Linked DNA regions of Ovis aries. The protein of the gene in region 3 interacts with the protein of the main gene of each other region in a pairwise test. Links are inferred from orthologs where the notes say so. Each region holds a gene or a part of one and is shown on either strand. Other genes may lie near its edges.

What was found.
Region 1: the proteins of COPG1 (region 3) and COPZ2 interact in a two-hybrid assay, tested with the Homo sapiens proteins (2 studies listed by BioGRID). The link is inferred for Ovis aries from reciprocal best matches to the Homo sapiens genes COPG1 and COPZ2.
Region 2: the proteins of COPG1 (region 3) and COPZ1 interact in a two-hybrid assay, tested with the Homo sapiens proteins (2 studies listed by BioGRID). The link is inferred for Ovis aries from reciprocal best matches to the Homo sapiens genes COPG1 and COPZ1.

What each region holds. Positions count from the first base shown.
Region 1 is NC_056064.1:38,174,272-38,178,576, reverse strand, and holds the start of COPZ2 (coatomer subunit zeta-2), read right to left. Parts: upstream 2,818-4,305; 5' UTR 2,798-2,817; coding exon 2,687-2,797; intron 2,340-2,686; exon of another isoform or gene 2,271-2,339; intron 2,036-2,270; coding exon 1,961-2,035; intron 329-1,960; coding exon 247-328; intron 1-246. UniProt on the Homo sapiens protein: The coatomer is a cytosolic protein complex that binds to dilysine motifs and reversibly associates with Golgi non-clathrin-coated vesicles, which further mediate biosynthetic protein transport from the ER, via the Golgi up to the trans Golgi network.
Region 2 is NC_056056.1:132,224,496-132,228,683, reverse strand, and holds the start of COPZ1 (coatomer subunit zeta-1), read left to right. Parts: upstream 1-1,371; 5' UTR 1,372-1,396; coding exon 1,397-1,414; intron 1,415-4,037; exon of another isoform or gene 4,038-4,094; intron 4,095-4,188. UniProt on the Homo sapiens protein: The coatomer is a cytosolic protein complex that binds to dilysine motifs and reversibly associates with Golgi non-clathrin-coated vesicles, which further mediate biosynthetic protein transport from the ER, via the Golgi up to the trans Golgi network.
Region 3 is NC_056072.1:59,032,384-59,035,943, forward strand, and holds part of COPG1 (coatomer subunit gamma-1), read left to right. Parts: intron 1-138; coding exon 139-236; intron 237-1,862; coding exon 1,863-2,001; intron 2,002-2,453; coding exon 2,454-2,552; intron 2,553-3,560. UniProt on the Homo sapiens protein: The coatomer is a cytosolic protein complex that binds to dilysine motifs and reversibly associates with Golgi non-clathrin-coated vesicles, which further mediate biosynthetic protein transport from the ER, via the Golgi up to the trans Golgi network.

The sequences.
Region 1 (4,305 bases), on a different chromosome or scaffold from region 3:
AGGCATGCCAGAAGCAGGTAGGTGGGAGCAGGTGGCAGTAGCGGGGGTGTGTGTGTGCTGGTGAAGGGGAGGAGGGTGAAGGTTCACCAGAAGAGAAAAGGGAACAGCTGGGAAGGGGAGGAAAAAACACCTCTGAAGAAAAGGGAATGGCCTGTGGGTATGTGAGGCCGACAGGGACAGCTCTGTCCAGGCGGAGATGACAGTGTGCATCTGAGAGTTCTGCGCAAGGAAGATGAGGACACTTACTGTCAGTTCGGCTGGTCTTGTTGAAGACATTTTTCTCGAAGGCCATCTGCTCTTTCATGGAGGGGAATGTGTCATCATAATACTAGGAGGAAGGGAAGGAGAAAAAGTGACAGCCGTTCCACAGGGTCTGGCTTCTCCCTGGATGGGTGGCAGGGTGCTGGCCAAGTGGGACCCTGCTGCCATGCCCCCTCTCCTCTTGACTGCCCTCTATGCCTGTCTGCTATTTCCTCCTAAACACAAATTCTGAGCAAAGAGAGTCATAAAAAGTAGAGGAATTTTGAGGCCTGCCTTTGGAGTCCTGTCCTGATTTCTTGGAGACCTTTGTGCATTCAGCAGATGGCTGGGGCAGTCACTAGCCACACTGTTTCTACACTAACCTGAGTCTACAGGAAAGAAGGCAGAACCAGGGGCTCTTTACCACAATAATATCATAACAGCTATTTTATTATCCACATTGTATGGATGGGGTAACTTCCCTGACACCTCACAGTTTAAGGGACAGAGCTGGGATGCAATGGCAGCGATAGTCTGACTTCAGACAGGATTATGATGAAGATCCCCTGGAGAAGGAAATGGCAACCCACTCCAGTATTCTTGCTTCGGAAATCCCATGGACAGAGGAGCCTGGTGGCTACAGTCGAAAGAGTTGACACGACATAGCAACTAAACAACAATGACAACTACGGTGAAGATGAACTATCTAAGGCAGAGTTCCTGGCACACACTGCCTAAGGAAATCAATGCTGTTTTGTTGGGTTTGATAAGACTGTCTCTCTGACTCAGTTCCTGCATTTGCACATGGATGTGATCTGCTGGGAGGAGGCCCTGGAACCTTTGGTTGCTGAGCTACCTCTGACCATCTGCTAGGGCAAGGGACGGTCAGCTCAGCTTCCATTTTCTGAATGTAGATTTTGCCACCTAGTGCCCCATCTGCAGGCAAATTAGTGGTCTCCCTGCCAGCCACTGTTGTGATGAACAGGCTCCCTGCAATGTCATGAAGACAAGAAGTTTCAATCTAAAAAGTCTAAAAACAATCTAAACAATCTAAAAAGTCTACGTTGCATTTCATAGCTAGTTTAGGTGTCACAGCCCCACTATAGTTAATTGTGTTGATGGTAGATATTTATTTTTGGATTATTCTAGTTTGGTTTGTCCGGCCATGATCACTAGCATATATACCAGATAACTGAATAGTTGGTGCAGAGAGAATCATCCTCCTGAGCTTCAAGTCAAAATACCAGAGTTTGGATCCCTGCTCTGATATTAGTACCTGTGATTCCAGGCAACTCTAGCTTCTCTAGACTACCTTTTCCTCATTTATGAAAGAGTTGGATTAAAATCTGGTCTATAAAATCCTATGTTTTAAATCCTTAGTGTTTACCAAGCTGTAAAAGCAAAGCAGAGGGTACTTGTTCAGAATTGGGGGACCAGGTATCCAGGGTCCCAGGCCAGTGCAAAGGACAGTGAGAAGACATTCCGGGGAACATGAGTAGAAACAGAAGAGACAGCCCCTCCCCCTCTTTGGGGGCCAGCATTCTGACAAGGCAGGAGGATGGACAGAATGACCTTTGGAAGGGTCTCAGCTGAGCTGCTCTGTGTTGCAGAGCCCACAGTGGGGTCTCTCCTGCCAGGTGAGTCAGCTGGGTGGGGACTTCTGGACTTGGGCCTGTGGCACAGTGTCTTCAGGGGCCCTCCGGTGAGGGTGGGAGGTTACCTTGGCCAGCAGGCGGTGTCCGTCATTATCTAGGATGAAAACGGCCTTGATAGTGTAGAGGGAAGGTTCCTGCAACTGACACGGGGGAGAGCTTTGTTGGCCCCTAAGCCAGCGCAGACCCCTGTCATCGGCTCTACGTGATCTGCTGATCCCAAGAGTCCATCCTCAGGCCAGCGACCCTAGCCCCAAAAGTTCACAGCTGGTTTCGGCCCAACCCTATGCCACATGGACCACTCGGGTGCCCGCTCCCCTCCCAGGCAGATGTCCCACTGCAGGCCCTGGGTGGGCGCTGTGCCCATTGGGTGCAGAAGGTCCGTCCGGGCCCAAGTTCTGTCATGCACTGACTGCTCCAGAGCCCGAGTCGGAGTGTATCACAGAACCTGGGCCGGGGGGACAGCGGCGCCGAGCTCCTCCAGCGGCCCCCGGCGCCCTGGCCCGTCGGGCTCCAGAAGCACGCACGTCAGCCCGCCGCCGGGGCGGCCCCGCGCTCCCTAGCCCTCCGGGAGAGACGCAATCCAGCCGGGCCGAGCCGTCCCCGCCCGCTCCGACTGCTCCAGAACTTCGCCCACGCGGACGCCGCACCGGCCTCCTCCCGAGTCAGCGCGGAGGAACTTTTCTGCCCGCGCGGGCGCCGCCCCTCCCAGGCCGGTCCCGGCGGCAGCAAGTTCCCCGGCGCCCGGCCCGCGAGCTGGCGCCCCCCGGCCCCCGGCGCCGCCCGCTCCGTACCCGCAGCGCCGCGGGCTCCCCAGCTCGGGCGGGCGGCGCCGGGCCCCCAGTCGGGGCGGCCGCGGCCCCCTCCCCCGGGTGCGGACGTGGCCAGGCCTCCGGCCGCTGCATTCCGCTCGCTGCCTCGCGCTGACAGCGCCGCCCCGCCCCGCCCCGCGCCCCCCGGGCCGCCGCCGCTCCTCCCCGGCGGCCGCCGGCCTCGCGCCCGCCCCTCTCAGCCCCTCCGCGCGTGTCCTTCCTTTCCCCGAGGCCCTTCCCTCCTCGCCCTCCCTCCTCTCCCTTCCCGCCCTCTCCGCCCTGCGCTCACACCCCAGCTCTCCTTCCCCTGGCTCTCCTTCCTCTCGCCCTCCTCGGCCCCTCAAAGCCCAGAGCTCCTTGTGTCCTCAGTTTGTCTCAAGAACGGCCTCCTTTCCCCCTCCTGCCTTCTCTCTGGCTTGTGGGTTTGGTTTGCACCGACGTCCACAGGCTGCCCTGAAGCCATCAGAAAACACAGGCAAAGTCCAGTTTGTCTCTGGACTCCTGGTAGGTACTGTTGGCACAAACACATCAGGTCATCCTTTGGACTTCAGAGACAGGTCCTAGCAGCGGGAGCAGATGAGGACAGCTCTAGAGAGACTCCTCTGTGCAGTAGAGTTTCTCCCATGCCTCTCCCGAGACTTGGGGAAGGCAGCCATAGCGCCTGGACACCTCTGCAGACACGGACACAATCTGAAATGAGACAGATACCCAGCAGTACAAATGTTCCGCCTGTGAATGGCATCAGGCTTTGCTATGCTTTGGTTCCTTTGGCCTAGGTATACTAGGTGGTTTAATCACTATGTCGTGTCCGACTCTTTGAATCCAAAGACTGTAGACTCCCATGCTCCTCTGTCCATGAAGTTTTCCAGGCAAGAATACAGAAGTAGGTTGTCATTTCCTTCTCCAGGACCTTCCCAACCCAGGGAATGAACTCTTGTCTCCTGCATAGGAAGCAGATTCTTTACCCCTGAGCCACTGCTGCTGCTAAGTCGCTTCAGTCGTGTCCAACTGTGTGTGACCCCATAGATGGCAGCCCACTAGGCTCCTCTATCCCTGGGATTCTCCAGGCAAGAATACTGGAGTGGGTTGCCATTTCTTTCTCCAATGCATGAAAGTGACAAGTGAAAGTGAAATCGCTCAGTCGAGCCCGACTCCTAGCGACTCCATGGACTGCAGCCTACCAGGCTTCTCTGTCCATGGGAATCTCCAGGCGAGAGTACTGGAGTGGGTCACGATTGCCTTCTCTGCCTGAGTCACTAGGGAAACCCATTAAGTATACTAGAGGGCTTTAGCTTCAGAATCTTCAAGGCTAGTGGGAAATTAACAGTACTTCAATGGCACCCCACTCCAGTACTCTTGCCTGGAAAATCCCATGGACGGAGGAGGCTGGAAGGCTGCAGTCCATGGGGTTGCTGAGGGTCGGACAGGACTGAGCGACTTCACTTTCACTTTTCACTTTCATGCATTGGAGAAGGAAATGGCAACCCACTCCAGCGTTCTTGCCTGGAGAATCCCAGGGTCGGGGGAGCCTGGTGGGCTGCCGTCTATGGGGTCACACAGAGTCGGACACGACTGAAGTGACTTAGTAGTAGCAGCAGCAG
Region 2 (4,188 bases), on a different chromosome or scaffold from region 3:
TCTATGGGATCGCCTAGAGTTGGACATGACTGAAGCGACTTAGCAGCAACAGCATACTTTTCTCTTAGGCAGTCTGATTCTGCTCTGAAAATTTTAGAAGAACTCCTGGGTTTAGATACTCTTTTTGGAGAGCTACTAAAGACATAACTGTTAGAGATGGAATTTAAAAAAAACTAAACCCACAAAAACCTCTGAGGGACAATATAAGGCAATAAGGGCTTCCCTGATGGCTCAGATGGTAAACAATTCAAGTGCGATGCAGGAAACCCAGGTTCCATCCCTGGGCCAGGAAGATTCCTCAGAGAAGGGAATGGCTACTCACTCCAGTATTGTTGCCTGGAGAATTCCATGGACAAGGGAGCTGGTGGGCTACAGCCCATGGGGTTGCAAAGAGTTGGACTCAACCAGCGACTAACACACATATAAGGCAAATAAAGGTGTCCCTGACCTACGAAACGTCAGGGACCAAGAAACTGAAGGGTGAGGAAAGCTAAACTTCATCAAAATCCCTCCCTATTGTGAAATCTCTGCATTCAGTAAACTTCTCTTTTCTCATTGTGCAATGGCTTGTCCCTACTGGAAAACAGCATACCCTGCTCCCTACATCGTTCCTTATCCTGGACCCTTTATTCCTGTGTCCCTCAGCATCCAAAGATCTCAAATCCCGTTTCACGGCTGGCCAAACAAAATCTGCTTTTAGAAAACTCACTAGCTTCTTGTCCTTCCCTGGATCAAGCAAAGTCTGGGACTCCACCTAGGGTAGATTGTTATTTTTAGCAATCAACCTCTAGCGGCCTTCTTTTTATCAAAGTAACACGCTGGTCATCTTGTGGCTTTACTTTATGACTGTGCAGACTTTGAGTATGCTGAAGTGATCTGAGCGAATCTGAAGGAAGAGCTAGTAGTGTTTGCCAAAGCTACCGTGAACATCGGGGACCCAATGGAGGCTCCGGAATGAAGATTCCGGTGGGATTACATCAAGACCTGCCAGTGTGAAGGGCCAAAGAGACACAGCGCCCCCTAAAGGGAGTGCGAATCAAAGTTACTAAATCCGACCGATGATATCACGTGCCCTCCGCCAGGCCAATTGAAAATTAACAATCGCTTCCTCTGTTCCCCATGGAAACAACCCCGCCCCTCTGACCTTCCCTCTCCATTCAGCCTTGAGGTTTTGTCGTTTTATTGAATGTTTAAACTGACAATCAAATACCTGCGCCTTCTGGCTGGACACCTTGCTTCCGCTAAGCAAACTAGTACACTGATTGGTCAATAAAATAATAGATGACATTTGGGCGTCCAATAACCTTCATCCCAGGCGGGATCTAATGAGGACGTAGGGCCAATCAGAGGCGGCGTTGCCTCTGTGGTTCCACGTCGGCACCAGCTGCGGGGCAAGATGGAGGCGCTGATTTTGGTAGGAGCTGGAGGGGCACCCGAGATCCTGCACTGTCCAGGGGGGCCGGGAGTCGGAGTTCAGTCTGAGTGGGAGGGGGTAGAAAGGGGAGTTCCTGGTAATCCTCGGGGTCCGAACGTTTTGCAGGTCCCTGGAATAAGCCTGTGGCCTAGTGCCGGAGCTAAAGCCTCGGTTTAGAGTAGGAAGCTGTGCCGGGGTTAGGGCAGAGTTGGTGGAAAGTTGAAGGGAGCACATGGAGTCCTTAGGACACATAGGATCATAAGCGTACTGGATTGGGGTCCTTCAGATTCTCTCTGATTATGTGCATTGTGGATGATACTGTGATTTGAGTTCCCCCAAATCTCCAAACTCGCCTCGAATTGTAAGAATAGAGTGCAGGTGTTTGTCATCACAGAAAACTTGTCACAGTGCAACTCTCCGTTGATAATTCCCTGTCGTAGACCTTAAAAAAAAAACTATTTTCTTCTTCGATTTCCTACTATGTAGATTTTGTCATCATAAAGAATCAGTATTCCATTAGAGTTCTGGAATACCTGATAAGAGTTAGTGTTGGATTGTGGAATGTTTTTTCAGACTTCTTAATCTGTTCTCCTTTTCCCGGTTCATTTAAATTTTGGGAATTCTTACTATAGTAGGATCTGGGATGCCAACTTTTCTCTGGTTATGTAAGAATTTTGGTGACTGAAGAGGTGTGTTACCTCCCCTGTCCATATAATCCTTTTTGCTTGCTCAAAAAAAAAAAAAAAACAAAAAACTATTATCTCTTCTTTAGAACTGAGCATTTCTCTCAAAAGTGCCCCACCCCTTTCAAACGTGGGGTTGTTAACATATATATGTATGTGTAATGTGTAGGAATTTAACTCCCAGCTTCTTAATTGAATTGAACTCTAGGTTCCTTTTTTACCCCCCTTCAGCTCTTCATATGTACACCTCCAAATCCTCATCAGGTTAAAGAGAATAACAGGTTTCAATATCCCTCTTTCAAAATGGCAAATGCAGGGATTCAGTTCAGTTCAGTCGCTCAGTCGTGTCTGACTCTTTGCAACCCCATGAATCGCAGCATGCCAGGCCTCCCTGTCCATCACCAACTCCCAGAGTTTACCCAAACTCATGTCCATCGAGTCAGTGATGCCATCCAGCCATCTCATCCTCTGTCGTCCCCTTCTCCTCCTGCCCTCAATCCCTCCCAGCATCAGGATCTTTTCCAATGAGTGAATTCTTTGCATGAGGTGGCCAAAGGATTGGAGTTTAGCTTCAGCATCAGTCTTTCCAATCAACACCCAGGACTGATCTCCTTTAGGATGGACTGGTTGGATCTCCTTGCAGTCCAAGGGACTCTCAAGAGTCTTCTCCAACACCACAGTTCAAAAATATCAATTCTTCAGTGCTCAGCTTCTTCATAATCCAATTCTCACATCCATACATGACCACTGGAAAAACCATAGTCTTAACTAGATGGACCTTTGATGGCAAAGTAATGTCTGTGCTTTTGAATATGCTATCTAGGTTGGTCATAACTTTTCTTCCAAGGAGTAAGCGTCTTTTAATTTCATGGCTGCAGTCACCATCTGCGGTGATTTTGGACTCCAAAAAAATAAAGTCTGACACTATTTCCCCATCCATTTGCCATGAAGTGATAGGACCAGATGCCATGATCTTCGTTTTCTGAATGTTGAGCTTTAAGCCAACTTTTTCACTCTCCTGTTTCACCTTCATCAAGAGGCTTTTTAGTTCCTCTTCACTTTCTGCTAGTTTCTTCCAAAAATATGGTTTGTTTAAGTCTAGGTAGAAAGCTTTGAAATCTTACTAAAGATATTTTCTGTACCAACCAGTTAACCAGTGTTCTTAACTAGTTAACAGACTGAGATGAATTCTAGGGAATTGGTTTCTTTGGAAGTTTTAAGAAAATTTTAGACTGCCCCTTAGTTCTGTTTAGAAGGGAGCCTGCTTATAGGTAAAGGAGTGAGGAAGATGATACTCCAGGAGCCCTTTTAACAAGGGATCTGTGTGTAGAGTGACCTGAGTTATATGTGAAAGTCTCTCTCCCTCTCACATTTTCTCTTACTTCAGTTCTTATCTTTGCTTCCATAATGAAGTTTGTTTTGACCTGCTTCTTCCTTATATCCATTTTAATCTTTACCTAAGATGCTTCATTCACAGATCCTTGCTGACCTGATCAGGTATCCCTGAAGTTTGCTTTAGAAACCTTACTGATTCTTTGTCCTGAGGAACCTATGTGATGTGTAAGGGGAAACGAAGATTAAGGGAAAAGGGCTTCCTCGAGTAAGCACAGTCAAAACCAGGATTAGTTTTTGACTCCTAATCCTCCCAGACCTAGTATTTCTCTCATATTATCGTGTGCTTCCACCTCTTCAGTATGCCAAATTGCACATTCAACTATCAGTTATATAAAACGTTAGTTAGGTACAAAGTACCAACTTTCAAAGTACCAACAAAGTACCAATACAAGTTCTTGTCACCAGAGTTCTTAGAATATCATATTAGTAATTTCCTTCCTCTTTGTCTGTGCTTCCCAACATTTTTGTATGTGTGTGCTCATTACTACCTTCAATATATTTTGGGCCCCCAATTAAGAACTTACGTATCTTTCTCTCCATTCCAGCCCTTCTCAACTGGAGTTCCAGGGGAGAATTAAGCCCTAATGCCGTAAGACATCATTGTATGTAATGAATCAATTTCTCTGTATACGCAGTGTCACTAGTTTTATACTATCTTTGGGAAGAGTAAAAAAATAGTATTAAATAATTTTCAGT
Region 3 (3,560 bases):
CCTGCCTCCCCACGCCACTGCCCTTGGTCCAGACCCGCGGGCAGGCTGGCCTGGGCCGCTGGCGCGGTCGAGGCCTGGAGGACAGGCTGTGGCCGCCTGCCCGCAGAGGCCCCCAACGGCGTGCCTTCCCTCCTGCAGTGGCCTGCACGTTCAGCTGCATGATGAAGTTCACTGTCAAGGACTGCGACCCCACCACCGGGGAGGCGGACGATGAGGGCTACGAGGATGAGTATGTGGTAAGCGCCGGCGGGGCCCGCAGGGCTCACGCCAGCCTGCACGCGTGTGCGCTGGTTTCGGTTTAGACGTCGCAAAAGAGTTCTTGTTTTTAACTTAAAAAATACATGTTCAAGTGTCACAAGAAAACCTGGGAAATAGAAAAACAAGTACACTCAGGCAGGGAAACGTTCACTGTAGCCCTTGGGAATGGCTGCGGGGAGAGAAGCTGTGTCTGATGTCATTACATACATTACAGATCTTGTTGGTTTCCCTTAGAACCAGGGTGTAATTTCCCGTCAGTACAAATACTTCATAAACACAAGTCTTAGTGACTTTAAAATACTCCCTTCTATTGACATATCCTAATTCACCTCACTTTGTATTCCAATAACATTGGGCATTTGTGATTCCAAATTCTCACTGTTTTTGAGTGCTACAGTAAACACCCCTTTCAGTAAAAATTTGTGCCTGTGTTTCAGACCTGTCTTGTGACTGGAAGTAGAATAATTAAAAAAACATTTAAAATAATTAAAAAAACAAGTAGGATAATCGGGTCAAAGACGCAGGACGGTTTCAGGGCTTTTTGGTTCCTGCCATCAGTCGCTTTCTAGAGAGACGGGGTCAGTTTGTGTCTGTCAGCGACCTTCTGACGCAGTGAGGTGCCCCTTCCGGCTCCAGCTCGCGGGGCTAGCACAGAGCCGAGGGCAGGGTCATTCTCGATTTGCCCGGCGTGCGGCGGCTCCCTGCCATCTGAGTGCAGACCCTGACAGGCAGCCTGGGATGGAGACGGCCAGGGCCCTCGTAGCCAGAGGGGCAGTCGCTGGGGCACACCCGATGGGCACTTGTGTCCTCCCGGGTCCAGGCCTGAGCCAGCAGTGCGCGCAGCCAAGGCCAGGAGGGCTGGGTATGAAGCCCGGCTTCTGCCACAGGGGCTGTGTCCTACCTGTGAACGCCCTCCCCGCGCACGGGAGCAGGGGCTCAGCAGAGAGCTGCTGGTGAATGAGCGGGAGCCTTTCCACACAGTCGGTCCAGGGTGCGCGTCCAGAGCGGGCCCGGCTGACTCGGGGCGGCCTCTGAGCACTCCTCCCCACCCCGCCCCATCAAGTCAGGCACTGGCGGCTTCGGAGGGCGCGCTCTCACAGCCAACACCCCGAGAGGAGGACAGGGGCCCCTCCATATCTGTGGGTTCTGCCTCCATGGATCCAACCAACAGACGGAAAATGGAGTGGGTTCCAGAAAATTCGCAAGAGCAAAACGTGAGCTTGTCACACAAGGCAGCTATGTACTTAGCGTTTGCACTGTGTTTACGTCTGTTTCCATGACACTTACATCATATCGGGTATTATAAACGCTTGAGAGGTGGCGCAGAGCATAAGGAAAACGTGCGCAGCTTAAACGCAAACACGGCGCTGCTCCACGTAGAGGACTGGAGCCCCCAGGAGCTCGCTGTCTGAGGGCGCGTCCCGCCGAGGGGCCACCACCCGGCCGTGAGCTGCTGAGGACAGGCCGCTGGTCCGCTGGGGCCCGCCCCGGAGCCCAGCGCTCGGAGCCTGCGCGGTGGGAGGGGCGGGTGGGCAGAGCGGAGCGGAGGCTCTCGCCGTCTCTCCTGGAGCTGTGTGCCTCAGGACCCTCCTATCGCCCCCCAGCTGGAGGACCTGGAAGTCACGATAGCGGATCACATCCAGAAGGTCATGAAGCTGAACTTCGAGGCAGCCTGGGACGAGGTCGGGGATGAGTTCCAGAAGGAGGAGACGTTCACCTTGTCCACCATCAAGACACTCGAGGGTAAATGCTGGGGGTGCCGGCTCTGGTTTGCCTGCCTTTCAAGACCCTTGGCCACTGTTAAAGTGCTCCTCCTCCCCCCGTCCCCGCCCCCGTCCCCCAAAGATCCAGGGCCAAGTCTAGAGCATACAGTTCAGATACACAGAATAATAAAAAAGTCGCTCAGTCATGTCCGACGCTTTGCGACCCCGTGAACAGTGCAGGCCATGGAATTCTCCAGGCCAGGACACTGGAGAGGGTAGCCTTTCCCTTCTCCAGGGGATCTTCCCAACCCAGGGATCGAACCCAGGTCTCCCACACTGCAGGCGGATTCTTCACCAGCTGAGCCACAAGGGACAGTTCAGATGCTGCTCATTAAAAGCTGCATACAGTGGGATTTGGGGCTGGGGGAGTGGTGATAGCGCCAAGTGGAGATGAGCTACGTGGGTTAATAACTCTGGGACTCCTCCCTGCAGAGGCTGTGGGCAATATCGTCAAGTTCTTAGGAATGCACCCTTGTGAGCGGTCTGACAAAGTGCCGGACAACAAGAACACGCACACGCTGCTCCTGGCCGGTGAGTGGCGTTTCTCGTGGGAAGGGCCTGGGTGCCCCTGGGTAACCCGGGGATTTAGGGCTCGCAGCGCGGAACATCACAAGGTATGAGAAGGCCAGCTAGCGCCGTTTTCCCCCGGCGCTTGCTGCCAGTCAGTGTCCCTGCCCACGGGCAGCCAGTGAGCTCCTACACAGGCCTCCAGGCGCCTCCCTGTGATCCTAAGGGTGTGAGAGCAAGTGTGCATGCTGCCCTGTGCAGAGTCAGACAGCCGTATGCAGACGGCGGGCACGCTGCTTTGCACTTGGCTGTTCACTTCACCGTGCATCTTGGAGAGCCTCCTGGTTTTTTTCCTTTTTTTAATAACATGAAATTTACCAATGTAGTGATTTTCACATCAGCTCAGCAGCGTTAAGTACATTCCCGCTGTTTTGCAACTATCGCCATCACCCACCTCCAGAACTTTCCCGTCTTCCCAGACGTCTTCCCAGACTGAGCTCTGGTTGTTTCTCATGGCTGAGTACTGTCTCTCAGAACCAGCACGTGGACTGAGGGACACCTAGGTGGTTCTCGTGTTCTGCCATTACAGACTGCGCTGCAGGGAACAACCCCACACACACGTGTCTGCTTAGGCACTTTATTTTGGATGTGTGCACTCTGGGTATTTGTAGGGTGAGTTTCTCAAGGCTTTACCAGGTCAAAGTGCATCTTTCATCTCGGTAAATATCTCCAGCTGCCTTCCATAGGAATCGTGTGCCTTCTCTCCCACACTTCCAACCGGGCAGCGTGTTCGCAACCTGCGCGGCCTGTGCTGGGCGTGTCCGTGTGTCTCGAGTGGCTTCACTCTGAGTGTCCTGTGTACTGACGGGCGCTCAGCATCTCAAGTGCGATCTGCCATGATTGCTCTCACCCCCTCTGACGTGAAACAGCGCGTGCATTCTATTTATTTCTATAGTTTCCACTGAGTTGGTTATTCCTTTCTGATAGGAATGGGGTTTTTAAGCAGTTCTGGGAATTTTCAAACACACACAC